Linked DNA regions of Callithrix jacchus. The protein of the gene in region 3 interacts with the protein of the main gene of each other region in a pairwise test. Links are inferred from orthologs where the notes say so. Each region holds a gene or a part of one and is shown on either strand. Other genes may lie near its edges.

Evidence for each region.
Region 1: the proteins of REEP6 (region 3) and SNX15 interact in binary tests that used the Homo sapiens proteins (3 or more experiments, as listed by UniProt). The two-hybrid records come from large-scale screens. The link is inferred for Callithrix jacchus from reciprocal best matches to the Homo sapiens genes REEP6 and SNX15.
Region 2: the proteins of REEP6 (region 3) and PTPN9 interact in binary tests that used the Homo sapiens proteins (3 or more experiments, as listed by UniProt). The two-hybrid records come from large-scale screens. The link is inferred for Callithrix jacchus from reciprocal best matches to the Homo sapiens genes REEP6 and PTPN9.

What each region holds. Positions count from the first base shown.
Region 1 is NC_133511.1:122,104,954-122,108,597, reverse strand, and holds part of SNX15 (sorting nexin-15), read right to left. Parts: intron 2,980-3,644; coding exon 2,944-2,979; intron 2,732-2,943; coding exon 2,611-2,731; intron 331-2,610; coding exon 215-330; intron 114-214; coding exon 1-113. UniProt on the Homo sapiens protein: May be involved in several stages of intracellular trafficking. Overexpression of SNX15 disrupts the normal trafficking of proteins from the plasma membrane to recycling endosomes or the TGN.
Region 2 is NC_133509.1:22,363,049-22,366,692, forward strand, and holds part of PTPN9 (tyrosine-protein phosphatase non-receptor type 9), read left to right. Parts: intron 1-338; coding exon 339-455; intron 456-3,644. UniProt on the Homo sapiens protein: Protein-tyrosine phosphatase that could participate in the transfer of hydrophobic ligands or in functions of the Golgi apparatus.
Region 3 is NC_133523.1:1,412,810-1,417,199, reverse strand, and holds the start of REEP6 (receptor expression-enhancing protein 6), read right to left. Parts: upstream 2,874-4,390; 5' UTR 2,792-2,873; coding exon 2,677-2,791; intron 1-2,676. Other genes in the region: PCSK4 (proprotein convertase subtilisin/kexin type 4), read left to right, coding at 3,737-3,925, 4,174-4,278. UniProt on the Homo sapiens protein: Required for correct function and survival of retinal photoreceptors. Required for retinal development.

The DNA.
Region 1 (3,644 bases), on a different chromosome or scaffold from region 3:
ACAGGGAGCGGCTGGGGTAGCCGGGGGTCATCAGGGGGCGGGGTGGGGATCAGAGGGGGTGGCAGGATATGCAGGTCCCTGGACACTTCTGAGGGTCGGGTCACTTCCCCACCCTGCAGGACAGAAAGATCAGCCATGGGGAGTCATGGGGTGCAATCTGGTGGCGGGTACGTGGCCCAGGTTCTGGGAAGGTGGAAGGACCAGGCGCACATACCCGGAAAAACTCCTTGAGCTGGGGGCTGTTGTTGAGCGCAGGTATGTGCACCGTGAAGCGCAGCAGGTCCTCTGCCCCCTTTCGCCGCTCCTCGATCACTGAGGCTTCAAACCGGCCTACAGCCCCCGCGACAGGGAAGAGGGGAGAGTGGCGGTGACCCACAGTGGCTTCTGCCCCAAAGCCACTTTTCCTGGTCCTGCCAGAGATGCTCTGAGCAACTCACTGCCCTCCTACCCATCTTCCCAGCCGTCTTCCCCGGCTCCTCCTGGGGTGAGGTGGGGTTTCCAGGAGGGATCAGTCTCCCTATTCATTCATTCGCCAGATGTTTACTGAATACCTACTATATGCTAGGCTCAGAAGGTGAACAGGGGAGACAAGTCTCTGCCCTTGTGAATATCATATTCTATACAGGGAGAGCTAGGTAGTTAACAACAAACAAAAGCATTTCTGATGTCTTTGATCTAATGAGGAGAAAAGTAAGGCTCAGAGAAGTAAAGTGACTTGCCCAAGGTCACACGGCAAGTAGCCTCCCTGTTTATTCTTTGAGACAGGGCCTGGCTCTGTTACCCAGGCCGGTGGGTGTACGGTGGCACGATCTCAGCTCACTGCAACCTCTGCCTCCTGGGAAAACCTGCCTTTCCACCTCAGCCTCCCAAGTAGCTGGGACTACAGGCGCATACCTCCATGCCTGGCTAACTTTTGTATTTTTTGTAGAGATGGGGTTTTGCCATGTTTCCCAGGCTGGTCTTGAACTTCTGAGCTCGACTGATTCACCTGCTTTGGCCTCCCAAAGTGCTGAGATTACAGATTTGAGCCACAGTTTCATTGCTCTGTCCTAGGTATTAAGCAGAGCAGGCTAACTCTGGTCCAGTTACTGTGTGGCCAGTCTGCGGCACTCCCCACTGGCCTGACAGCAGTGATCCTTCACCTTGCTTCAAAAGAACATCTCGGCCAGGCACAGTGGCTCATGCCTGTAATCCCAGCACTTTGGGAGGCCGAGGCAGGTGGATCACTTGAGGTCAGGAGTTCAAGACCAGCATGGCCAACATGGTGAAACCCTGTCTCTACTAAAAATATAAAAATTAGCTGGGCGTGGTGGCGTGCCCTCGAGTCCCAGCTACTCTCATCCCAAGTGTTCCTCAGCCACACAGGGCTCGTGGCTACTGTTTTGGAAGGCACAGGTCTACAGGAAACCTAGCTGTGCAGCTGTGGCAAGGAATCCTGGTTCTGCCACCTACAGGCCAAGACCCTTCACCTCACTGAGCCTCAGCTGGCTTACCTTGAAAATGGAGCTAATAGGTGGGTGCAGTGGCTCACACCTGTAATCCTAGAACTTTGGGAGGCCGACACAGATCACTTGAGGTCAGGCATTTGAGACCAGCCTGCCAACATGGTGAAACCCTGTCTCTACTAAAAATACAAAAATTAGCCTGGTGGGGTGGTGCATGCCTGTAATCCCAGCTACTCAGGAGGCTGAGGCAGGAGAATTGCTTGAACCTGGAAGGTGGAAATTGCAGTGAGCCCCCTGAACTCCAGCCTGGGCAGCAAAGTAAGGCTGTCAACAATAACAAAAAAGAAAAAGAAAATGGAGCTAATAAAGACAGGAATTTTTTTTTTTTTTGAGATGGAGTTTTGCTTTTATTGCCCAGGCTGGAGTGCAGTGGCACGATCTTGGCTCATTGCAACCTCCACCTCCCAGGTTCAAGTGAGTCTCCTCCCTCAGGCTCCCGAGTAGCTGGGATTACAGACATGTGCCACCATGCCTGGCTAATTTTTTGTACTTTTGGTAGAAACAGGGTTTTACCATGTTGGTCAGGCTGGTCTCGAACTACTGACCTCAGGTGATGCACCCGCCTTGGCCTCCCAAAGCCCTGGGATTACAGGTGTGAGCCACTGCACCTGGCCTGACAGGAATGTTAAAAGGCACAATACCCCAGCACTTTGGTAGGCTGAGGCGGGCGGATCACGAGGTCAGGGGTTCGAGACCAGCCTGACCAACATGGTGAAACCCCATCTCTACTTAAAAAATTAACTGGGCGTGGTGGCACGCACCTATAGTCCTAGCTACTTGGGAGGCTGAGGCAGGAGAATTGCTTGAACCCGGGAGGCGGAGGTTGCGGGGAGCCAAGATCATGCCATTGCACTCCAGCCTGGATGACATAGTGAGACTCCGTCTCAAAAAAAAAAAAAAAAAAAAAAAAAAGTGCAATATACAGGGTTAGGCTGCTCTGAGCCTCAGTTTCCTCATCTGTCAAATAAGGTCATCCCTAAAGGTCCTTCCAAACGTGTATCTGCCCAGAGTTTCAGTCCCTCTCTATCCAGCCCCCACTGGCAGATGTCCCCGTTGCCCAATACTCCCTCTATCTTCAGCCTGAGTGCCCAGATCTAACACTCACCAAACACTTGCGCCCGGGGGAAAGCAGGGAACTCCTCCAGGCGGCGGAAGAGGTTGCGGTGGGTGTAGGCCAGGTCTCCATGCAGCTTGCGGAAGTCACTGTACCGCTTCCAGACCACCACCTACCAGGGACACGAGACTTGCCTGGGACTGGCAATGGTGGGAGGCAGCCACCTCCATGCCCAGTCTGCCCCCAAGGGGTGTGAGGATCAGGATGTAGCACTGCCTTGCCCAGGGCCGGGGAGGAAGGAGGGCCGGTGTTCAAACAGAGTTACCAGCTGCCCCTTGTCAGTTTCCAGATCCGGAACCTCCCTCTTCCTCCCAGGAGCCTCACCTCTTTGACATCCTCTGGGTCCTTCTTTGAGATGAACTGAGAAAGAAAGGCAAGAGCCAGTTGAGACCAGAGACCGCCAACTGATACCTTCTCACCCTGTCATGCCCAGGTGCCTCCTAGTCCCCCGAAAGGGGCAGTGTGCTTTGGCCACTGGGCTCTGGCATCAAGGCACCCTGGCTTTAAGCCTTGAGTGTAACCTCAGCAATTTTTTCACTATGCACCTCAGTTTCTCCATCTGTCAAACAGGAGGACCCCCAAAGGCCCATTTGGACTACTCCAACCTCAGCCCAGCAATTTTTTCTTTTGAGACAGAGCCTTGCCCTGCAGGCTGGAGTGCAATGGCATGATCTTGGCTCACTGAAACCTCCACCTCCCCAGTTCAAGCCATTCTCCTGCCTCAGCCTCCCGAATAGCTGGGATTACAGGCACGCACCACAACACCCAGCTAATTTTTTGTATCTTTAGTAGAGACGGGGTTTCACCTTGTTGGCCAGACTGGTCTCAAACTCCTGACCTTGTGATCTGCCCACCTCAGCCTCCCAAAGTGCTGAGATTACAGGCATGAGCCACTGTGGCACCCAGCCTTTTTTTTATTTTGTGAGATGGAGTCTCGCTCTGTCACCCAGTCTGGAGTGCAGTGGTGTGCTCTCGGCTCACTGCAACCTCTGCCTTCAGGGTTCAAGCGATTCTCCTGCCTCAGC
Region 2 (3,644 bases), on a different chromosome or scaffold from region 3:
TTTTGAGACAGTCTTGCTCTGTCGCCCAGGCTGGAGTGCAATGGCACAATCTCGGTTCACTGCAACCTCTGTCTCCTGGGTTCAAGCAATTCTCTTTGCCTCAGCCTTTCAAGTAGCTGGGATTACAGGCCTGCACCACCATACCTGGCTAATTTTTGTATTTATAGTGGAGCTGGGGTTTCACCATGTTGGCCAGGTTGGTCTCAAACTCCTGACCTCAGGTGATCTGCCCACCTCAGCCTCCCAAAGTGCTGGGATTACAGGCATAACCCACCACACCCAGCCTCTTCTTTTCTCTTTGCCTCCTTTTCTTCTTCTTTTTTTTTTTTTTGAGACAGAGTCTTGGTCTGTTGCCAGGCTGGAGTGCTGTGGCGTCATCTCGGCTCACTACAACCTCCACCTCCCAGGTTCAAACAATTCTCCTGCCTCAGCCTCCCAAGTAGCTGGGATTACAGGTATGTACCACCACGCCTGGCTAATTTTGTATTTTTAGCAGAGACAGGGTTTCATCGTATTGACCAGTCTGGTCTCGAACTCCTGACCTTATAATCCATCTGCCTTGGCCTCCCAAAGTGTTGGGATTACAGGCATGAGCCACCACACCTGGCCTTCTTTTCTTTTCTTCTGTTCTTTTCATTTCCTCGAATTCCTAGGTTCAAGTGATCCTCTTACCTCAGCCTCCTGAGTAGTTGGGACTACAGGCATGTGCCACTATGCCCAGCTAATTTTTTATTGTTTGAAGAGATGGACTTTGCCATGTTGCCTGGGCTGGTCTCAAACTCCCAGACTGAGGTGATCGTCCTGCCTTGATCTCTCAAAGTGTTGAGATTACAGGGGTGAGCCACTGCACCTGGTCAGATTATTATTGCTCTCATTTCTCTTACCATGTTTTAATTGGCTGCCCCAGAAATCTCTCTCCAACTAGTGAGCTATGTCTGTTGAAAACTATAGAAACTATGGGTGGGTACAGTGGCTCATACCTGTAATCTCAGCACTTTGAGAGTACATGGTATAGGAGGATTATTTGTGCCTAGGAGTTTGAGATCAACCTGAGCAGCATAGCAAGAACCCATCTCTACAAAAATAAAAACCAACAAGATTAGCCAGGCTGATCCCGAACTCCTGAACTCAAGTGATCTGCCTGCCTCGGCCTTGCAAAGTGCTGAGATTAAAGGCATGAGCCACTGTGCCCGGCTTCTCTTGCATCTTGAATGAGGGAAGTACATTGGAGCAGGAAGGCTTGCTGGGCTGATCCAAGAGGATGCACACTTATCCTGGGGATTCTTTACCTTGCTCTTGATGCTTCTGCAACTACCAACTGCTGTGAGGTCCTTGAGATGTCATTTCTACTGTAGGGTCTCCCCCCTCCATTGAATAAGTGGGTTTAGATCTTCTTGGCATCATCCAAACCAGCTACCATTTGACAATCAGAGATCCCTCATTCAATGAGAGGACTTCCTAGTCTTGCCTGTTGAATGATTGATTCCCCAATTTGTTATTTAGAACCTAGAATCCTCATCAGCCCCAGGCCTCCGTCTTACACCAACTCCCAGTAGAGCTACTTACACAGAACAAACTATGTTTCCCTTGGAATTCTGGATTATGAAGTGGATATCAGTGTACATTCACTCTTACCCAGGATTCCCCTGAACCAAGAGACTTTCTTTCCCTTTTCTCTTATTACTTTTTCTTATAATTGTAGATTCACTTGTAGTTTTAAGAAGTAATAGAGACAGATCACATGCACCCTTTCTACAGTTATCCCATGGTAACATCTTCCAAAACTGTAGTGTAATATCACAGCCAGAGTATTAACACTGATACAGTCCACCAATCTGATTTAGACTTCCCCAGTTTTACTTTGTTTGTGTGTATTTACTTCTCTGTGGTTTTGTCACACGTGTAGGTTTGTGTATCTGTCACCATAGACAAGATACAAAGAGTTCTGTCAACACAAGGCTCCCCTTGTTGCCCTTCAATATTTTAATATTTATTTAGTTAGTTTGAGACAGAGTCTTGTTCTGTCACCCAGGCTGGAGTACAATGACGTAATCTTGGCTCACTGCAACCTCTGCCTCCCAGGTTCAAGTGATTTTTCTTGCCTTACCTTCTCAAGTAGCTGGGACTACAGGCATGTGCCACAATGCCCAGCTAATTTCTTTTCTTTTCATTTTTTGAAACTGAGTTTTGCTCTTGTCACCCAGGCTGGAGTGCAGTGGGCGATCTCGGCTCACTGCAACCTCTGCCTCCCAGGGTTAAGCGATTCTGCTGCCTCAGCTTCCCAAGTAACTGGGATTGTAGGCGCCCACCACCACGCCTACAGCTAATTTTTGTATTTTTAGTAGGCAGGATTTCACTGTGTTGGCCAGGCTGGTCTCGAACACTCCTGACCTGTGTCCACCCACCTTGGCCTCCCAAAGCGCTGTGATTGTAAGCGTGAGCCACTATGCTTGGCTTCGTTGCCCTTTAATAAACAGACACCTCCTTCCCACCACCTCCCTATTCCTAACCCCTGTAACCACTAATCTGTTCTCCATTTCTGTATAATTTTGTGTTTTCCAAGTTGTTGTTATATAAAATAACATTATATAAAACTTATAAAAAATTACATACATTATGTAATCTTTTAGGATTGCTTTTATTCACTAGGCATATTTGTATGGGAAGGGGGAGACTCTTTTTTTAGACAGAGTCACTCTGTCACCCAGGTAGGAGGCATGATCTTGGTTCACTGCAATCTCCACCTCTCAGGTTCAAGTGATTCTCCCGCCTCAGTCTCTCAAGTAGGTGGGCTTACAGGCACCTGCCACCATGCCTGGCTAATTTTTTTTTTTTTTTTTCAGTAGAGACAAGGTTTCACCATATTGGCTAGGTTGGTCTTGAACTCCTAACCTCAGGTAATCTGACAGCCTGAGCCTCCCAAAGTGCTGGGATTACAGGCATAAACCACTATGCTTGGCTGAAATTTTTTAAGATAGAGAAAAGTACATAGTATGACACTGGAAATAACTATATGTTTGTACCATGGGATCAACACTGACTATTGTTAATATTTTGTTATATTTGCTTTATCTTTTTTTTTTTTTTTTGAGATGGAGTTTCGCTCTTGTTGCTCAGGCTGGAGTGCAATGACCTTGACTCACTGCAACCTCTGCCTCCTGGGTTCAAGTGATTCTCCTGCCTCAGCCTACCAAGTAGCTGGGATTACAGTTGCCTGCCACCATGCCCTGCTAATTTTTATTTTAGTTTATTTTTTGAGACAGAGTTTCACTCTTGTTGCCCAGCCTGTAGTGCAATGGTGCAGTCTCGCTCACCGCAACCTCCACAGTCCTGCGTTCAAGCACTTCTCCTGCCTCAGCCTCCCAAGTAGCTAGGATTACAGGCATGTGCCACCACACCTGGCTAATTTTGTATTTTTAGTAGAGATGGGGTTTCTCCATGTTGGTCAGGCTGGTCTCAAAGTCCCGACCTCGGGTGATCTGCCTGTCTTGGCTTTTCAAAGTGCTGTGGTTATAGGCATGAGCCACCGTGCCTGGCCAATTCTTTGTATTTTTAATAGAAACAGAGTTTTGCCATGTTAGGCACGCTGGTCTCAAACTCATCTCAGGTGATCCACCTGCCTCTGCCTCCTAAAATCTTGGAAT
Region 3 (4,390 bases):
GAGCAGTAATGGCCCCTGCCTCTTATGGTTACAAGTTAACAAAGAGAACAAACACCCTTCTGCACATTTTATTTTTTTGAGACGGAGTCTCGCTCTGTTGCCCAGCCTGGAGCGCAGTGGCACAATCCCAGCTCACTGCAACCTCCGCCTCCTGGGCTCAAGCGATTCTCGTGCCTCCGCCTCCCGAGTAGCTGGGACCGCAGGCGTGTACAACCCTGCCAGGCTGACTTTTGTATTTTTAGTAGAGATGGGGTTTCACCGTGTTGACCAGGCTGGTCTCAAACTCCTGACCTCAGGGTCCCCCCCCACCTCCTCTGTGTCCCAAGGGCGGGATTACAGGTGTGAGCCACTGCACCTGGCCTTCCTGTACAATTATTAAGCGCCTTCAGGCTACTGTAACACAGTTCTAGTGAGGAGGGTCTTCAGAGAGAAGAGTGTGTGTGTGTCCGCATCCAGCTCTGCCCCAATCCTGAACCTGGCTCTGGAAAGAATGACTGTGACAACTGCATTTATTAAGCGCCTATTGTGTGCCAGGTTCTGTGCTTTCCCTGAACTGTCTCATGCAACAGCCAGAACTGGGCTGGGTGGGTGTTGCCCAAGGTCACACAGGGAACCTCTGGGCTCAGAAGGCTTGGGACAGCCTCCGTTCTCCTCCCCTGGGGCTGCTATCTGCAGAGAGAGATAGAGGCCACTTGCCGACCAAAGGGCAGACGCCCAAGTTCCGCAGCCCAGCCCTCCCCTCGGCCAGCATCAGTCTTTATCGACAAGCACCCAAGGTCGGGGTAGGAGGGGTCCCCCAGCTGGTCCCAGCAGGCTATGCGGCCTCCGGGCCACTGTCTCCTCTGAGTTTCTTCATGTTACCCAGGGGTGTAGGACCTATGGGTTTAAAGGAGGTGCGGGGTTGCGGGGGAGGGGGATACAGGGGGATGAGGGAACGCCACCTTTCCCCGGGCCTCCCTGGTGGGGGAGGAATGGCTCTCCCAGGGCGTCCCTCCCCTAAATCCCTTTTTCTGCAGGTTCAGCACTGGGAGGATGACCTTGAACATGGGAAGTGTGGACGGGGCACAGCCCCCAAGATTAGCAGCAGATGGGACTGGGGTGGGCAGGGTGGAGGGGGCGTATGCTTCAGACAGAGCAGGCACATAGGCAGCCCCTGCCTCCCTGTACCTCAGCCTCCTCCCTGGCAACACAGTGCCCCAGCCAGCCCGTCCCTGCTGCCTGCCTCCTGGGCGCTCTATGACCTCAATTCCCGCCCACTGGCCCCAGGGATGTGGAAAGGGAGGGCAGAGGTCAGGGGCCTGCTCCCCGGGGCAGGCACAGGGGGCCATGCCACCTGCTGTGCTGTGCACATGGGACCAGGCACCTGGGGACCTCCAGGGTCTGGGAACAGATCTCAGACTGTCCTGGGGCTGCCAGGCATGGGAACTCCCAGATGGTGGGAAAACGGGGGAAACTGGAGTCCTGGGATCTGCCTGCAGGAGGTGCTCAAAAAAGTGGCACTGCCCGCTACCCACTGCGCCCCAGGCTAGAGAAAATCCTTGTGAGTTACTCTGCCAGGCTCCCTGAAAAAGAAGGCAGGGCCAGTGGGGCTGGGAGCACCACACAAAGGGAAGAAAGGCTGGGTACAGTGGCTCCCTCCTGTCATCCCAGAGCTTCGGGAGGCTGAGGATCACTTGAGCCCAGTTTGACACCAGCCTGGGTAACATAGTGAGACCCTGTCTCTTAAAAAAGTTAATTTTAAAAAGTTTTAGGCTGGGCAGGGCCGGCGGCTCACGCCTGTAATCCCAGCACTTTGGGAGGTCGGGGTGGGTGGATCACTTGAGATCAGGAGTTCGAGGCCAGCCTGGTCAACATGGTGAAACTCCATCTCTACTAAAAATACAAAATTTAGCTGGGCATGGTGGCGCACACCTGTAATCCCAGCTACTCGGGAGGCTGAGGCAGGAGAATTGCTTGAACTCGGGACGCGGAGGTTGCCGTGAGCCGAGATCGCGCCATTGCACTCCAGCCTGGGCAACAGAGCAAGACTCCCTCTCAAAAAAAGAAAAAAAAAAAAACTTTTAAAGGTGGAGAGGGAGGCATTTAAGGAGCGATTGCTACATGCGCGCTCTAGACAGTTTTGGAAAGGGGCAGGGCCGCACAGTGTCACCAAGGCGGAAAGGACCAGGAGAACATGGAGTCACAATCGGGGTGTCGGGATCTGGAGCTCCGCGGGCGCCAGTCCAGCCTCCCCCCATCACAGCTGTCAGACGACCCAGCTTCGTCTTAAATATTTACGCGCAGTGGCACTAAGCCATTGAGCCGGGGGAAGGAGACTAGGCCAGCCGGGAGGAGGGTCCTGGGCAGCCCCCCGGTAGCCCCCCAGGGACGGTCCGTTCCCCTCCCGGAGTCCACGGGGGGCAGGGGACGGGGAAACGCGCGGGTCACGGGCATCCCCACCCCCACCCCTCCGGGGCCACCGGGCAACTGGAAGAACCGGACTTCGGCGTGGCGGGCACCCAGCGCCGGGAAGGAGGCTGGAAAGGGGGGCGCGGGCGGACCCCGAGGTCCCGGTCACCCCGCACGCTCCACCGGCCGGACCGGACCCCGCAGCCGGGGAGGGAGTCCGATCCGCGACCCCCGGGCCCGTGGCCTCGATGTGCCCGTCGGCGAAACGGGCGATCGCCGACCGCTCACCTGCAGCCAGATACCGCTTCTCCACCCCGGTCTTGGCCTCCAGCGCCCCCAGCGCGTCGGTGACCAGGTTCCTCTGCTCCAGGAAGCGCTCCACGCGCTGGCTCAGCCCGTCCATGGCCCCGGCGCGCCCGGCGTTGGCTGCTCGAGCTCGCCCGCGGCCCCGCGCGCCCGCCCCGCTGCACGCGCGCAGCTTTCTCGCAGCGGGAGCCGAGCTGTCCGGGCCCCGCGCCGGTGTCCGCCCCCGGCCCCCCGCCCGGACCAATGGGAGGGCACGGCGGACAAAGGAGGTGGGGCCTGCCCCGTCTCCCCCGCCGCATCGCCCTCTGGGGGGGCTGCGGCCGCCACTGCGCAGACCCCGCCTGGAGAGGGCGGGGCGCACCAGTTCAGGGCACCGATTGGCCGGGCGGGAGCGAGACGTAGCTGATTGGAGGGGCGGTGTCAGGGGACGGGATTATTGGCTGCGACGCTGAGGGGGGTGGAGCTAGGGTGAGGCGCGGCACGCGGTGGAAGGAGGAGCCTGTGGGCGGGGCTGGAGAAAAATCCGAGCCGATTGGGGAAACGGTACGCGATTCATTGGTGAAGCCGGAGGAGGGGCGGTCTGATCCGTAAAGGAGGCGGGGCTGATTAGTAGGGGCGGGGAATTGGGCGGGGCTTATTGGAGGAGGCGGGATTGCTCGATAGAGCGATTTTGATTGGGCCGGATAGGAGGCCGGGCTGATTCTCGAAGGAGGGGGTGTGTGGGAAAGTGGGCGAGGCCAAAGAAAGTGCTGGACGCGTTACCACGAGTGACTCCCCTTCTCTGGTTTAGATTATTGTCGTTGTACAAATGGGGGAACTGAGGCTCCCGAGGCTGTGGGTCTGCGGAAGGCCGGCAGGCGTGCCTCCTTCCCGCTTCTGTCAGATCTTCGCGCCTCTCGGCGGGGGTAGCCTCAAGGCCCCCTGGGAGTCGAAGCCTTCCGCGTTGCCATGGCGCCGGGGGCGTGGCGGGCGCCTGGGCCCCCTCGGCGGTTTGGCGGGGGAGGGGCTTGCTCAGGTCCCGCCCCCTCCCCGCCCCGCGTCCATGAGGCCCGCCCCGATTGCGCTATGGCTGCGCCTGGCCTTGGCCCTGGCCCTCGTAGGCCCCCTGGCTGTGGGGTGGGCCTCGTCCCGGGCCCCCATCTATGTCAGCAGCTGGGCCGTGCGGGTGTCCCAGGGGAACCGGGAGGCCGAGCGCCTGGCACGCAAATTCGGCTTCGTCAACCTGGGGCCGGTGGGTGGGACCGGGATGGACAGGAAGTGGGGGCTCGAGGGGACTGGACGGCCCCAGACCCCGACAAGTGGGAGGGAGCCCCCAAGGTCTCCTAAGTATCAAGAGCCCCAGCCCACCCCTGCATCAGCCAAGCTCAGTTTCTGAGGGCACTTGGTGGGGAAGGACAAGGCAGGGGGGTTTCCCGGCCCTCGGGGGCTGCAGCAGGGGAGCCGGGTCCCATCCGTGCGGCCGCTTCCCCACATCCCCAGATCTTCCCTGACGGGCAGTACTTTCACCTGCGGCACCGTGGCGTGGTCCAGCAGTCCCTGACCCCGCACTGGGGCCACCGCCTGCGCCTGAAGAGAGACCCCAAGGTGAGCCTGGCCTGGAGGCCACCCCCTCGGGTCTCAGCCGCATCCTGGGGCCCTAGCCACCTTCTGTGATTCTCGTGGCTCTTATGAACGGCTGTGTGCTTTCTGTGGCTCG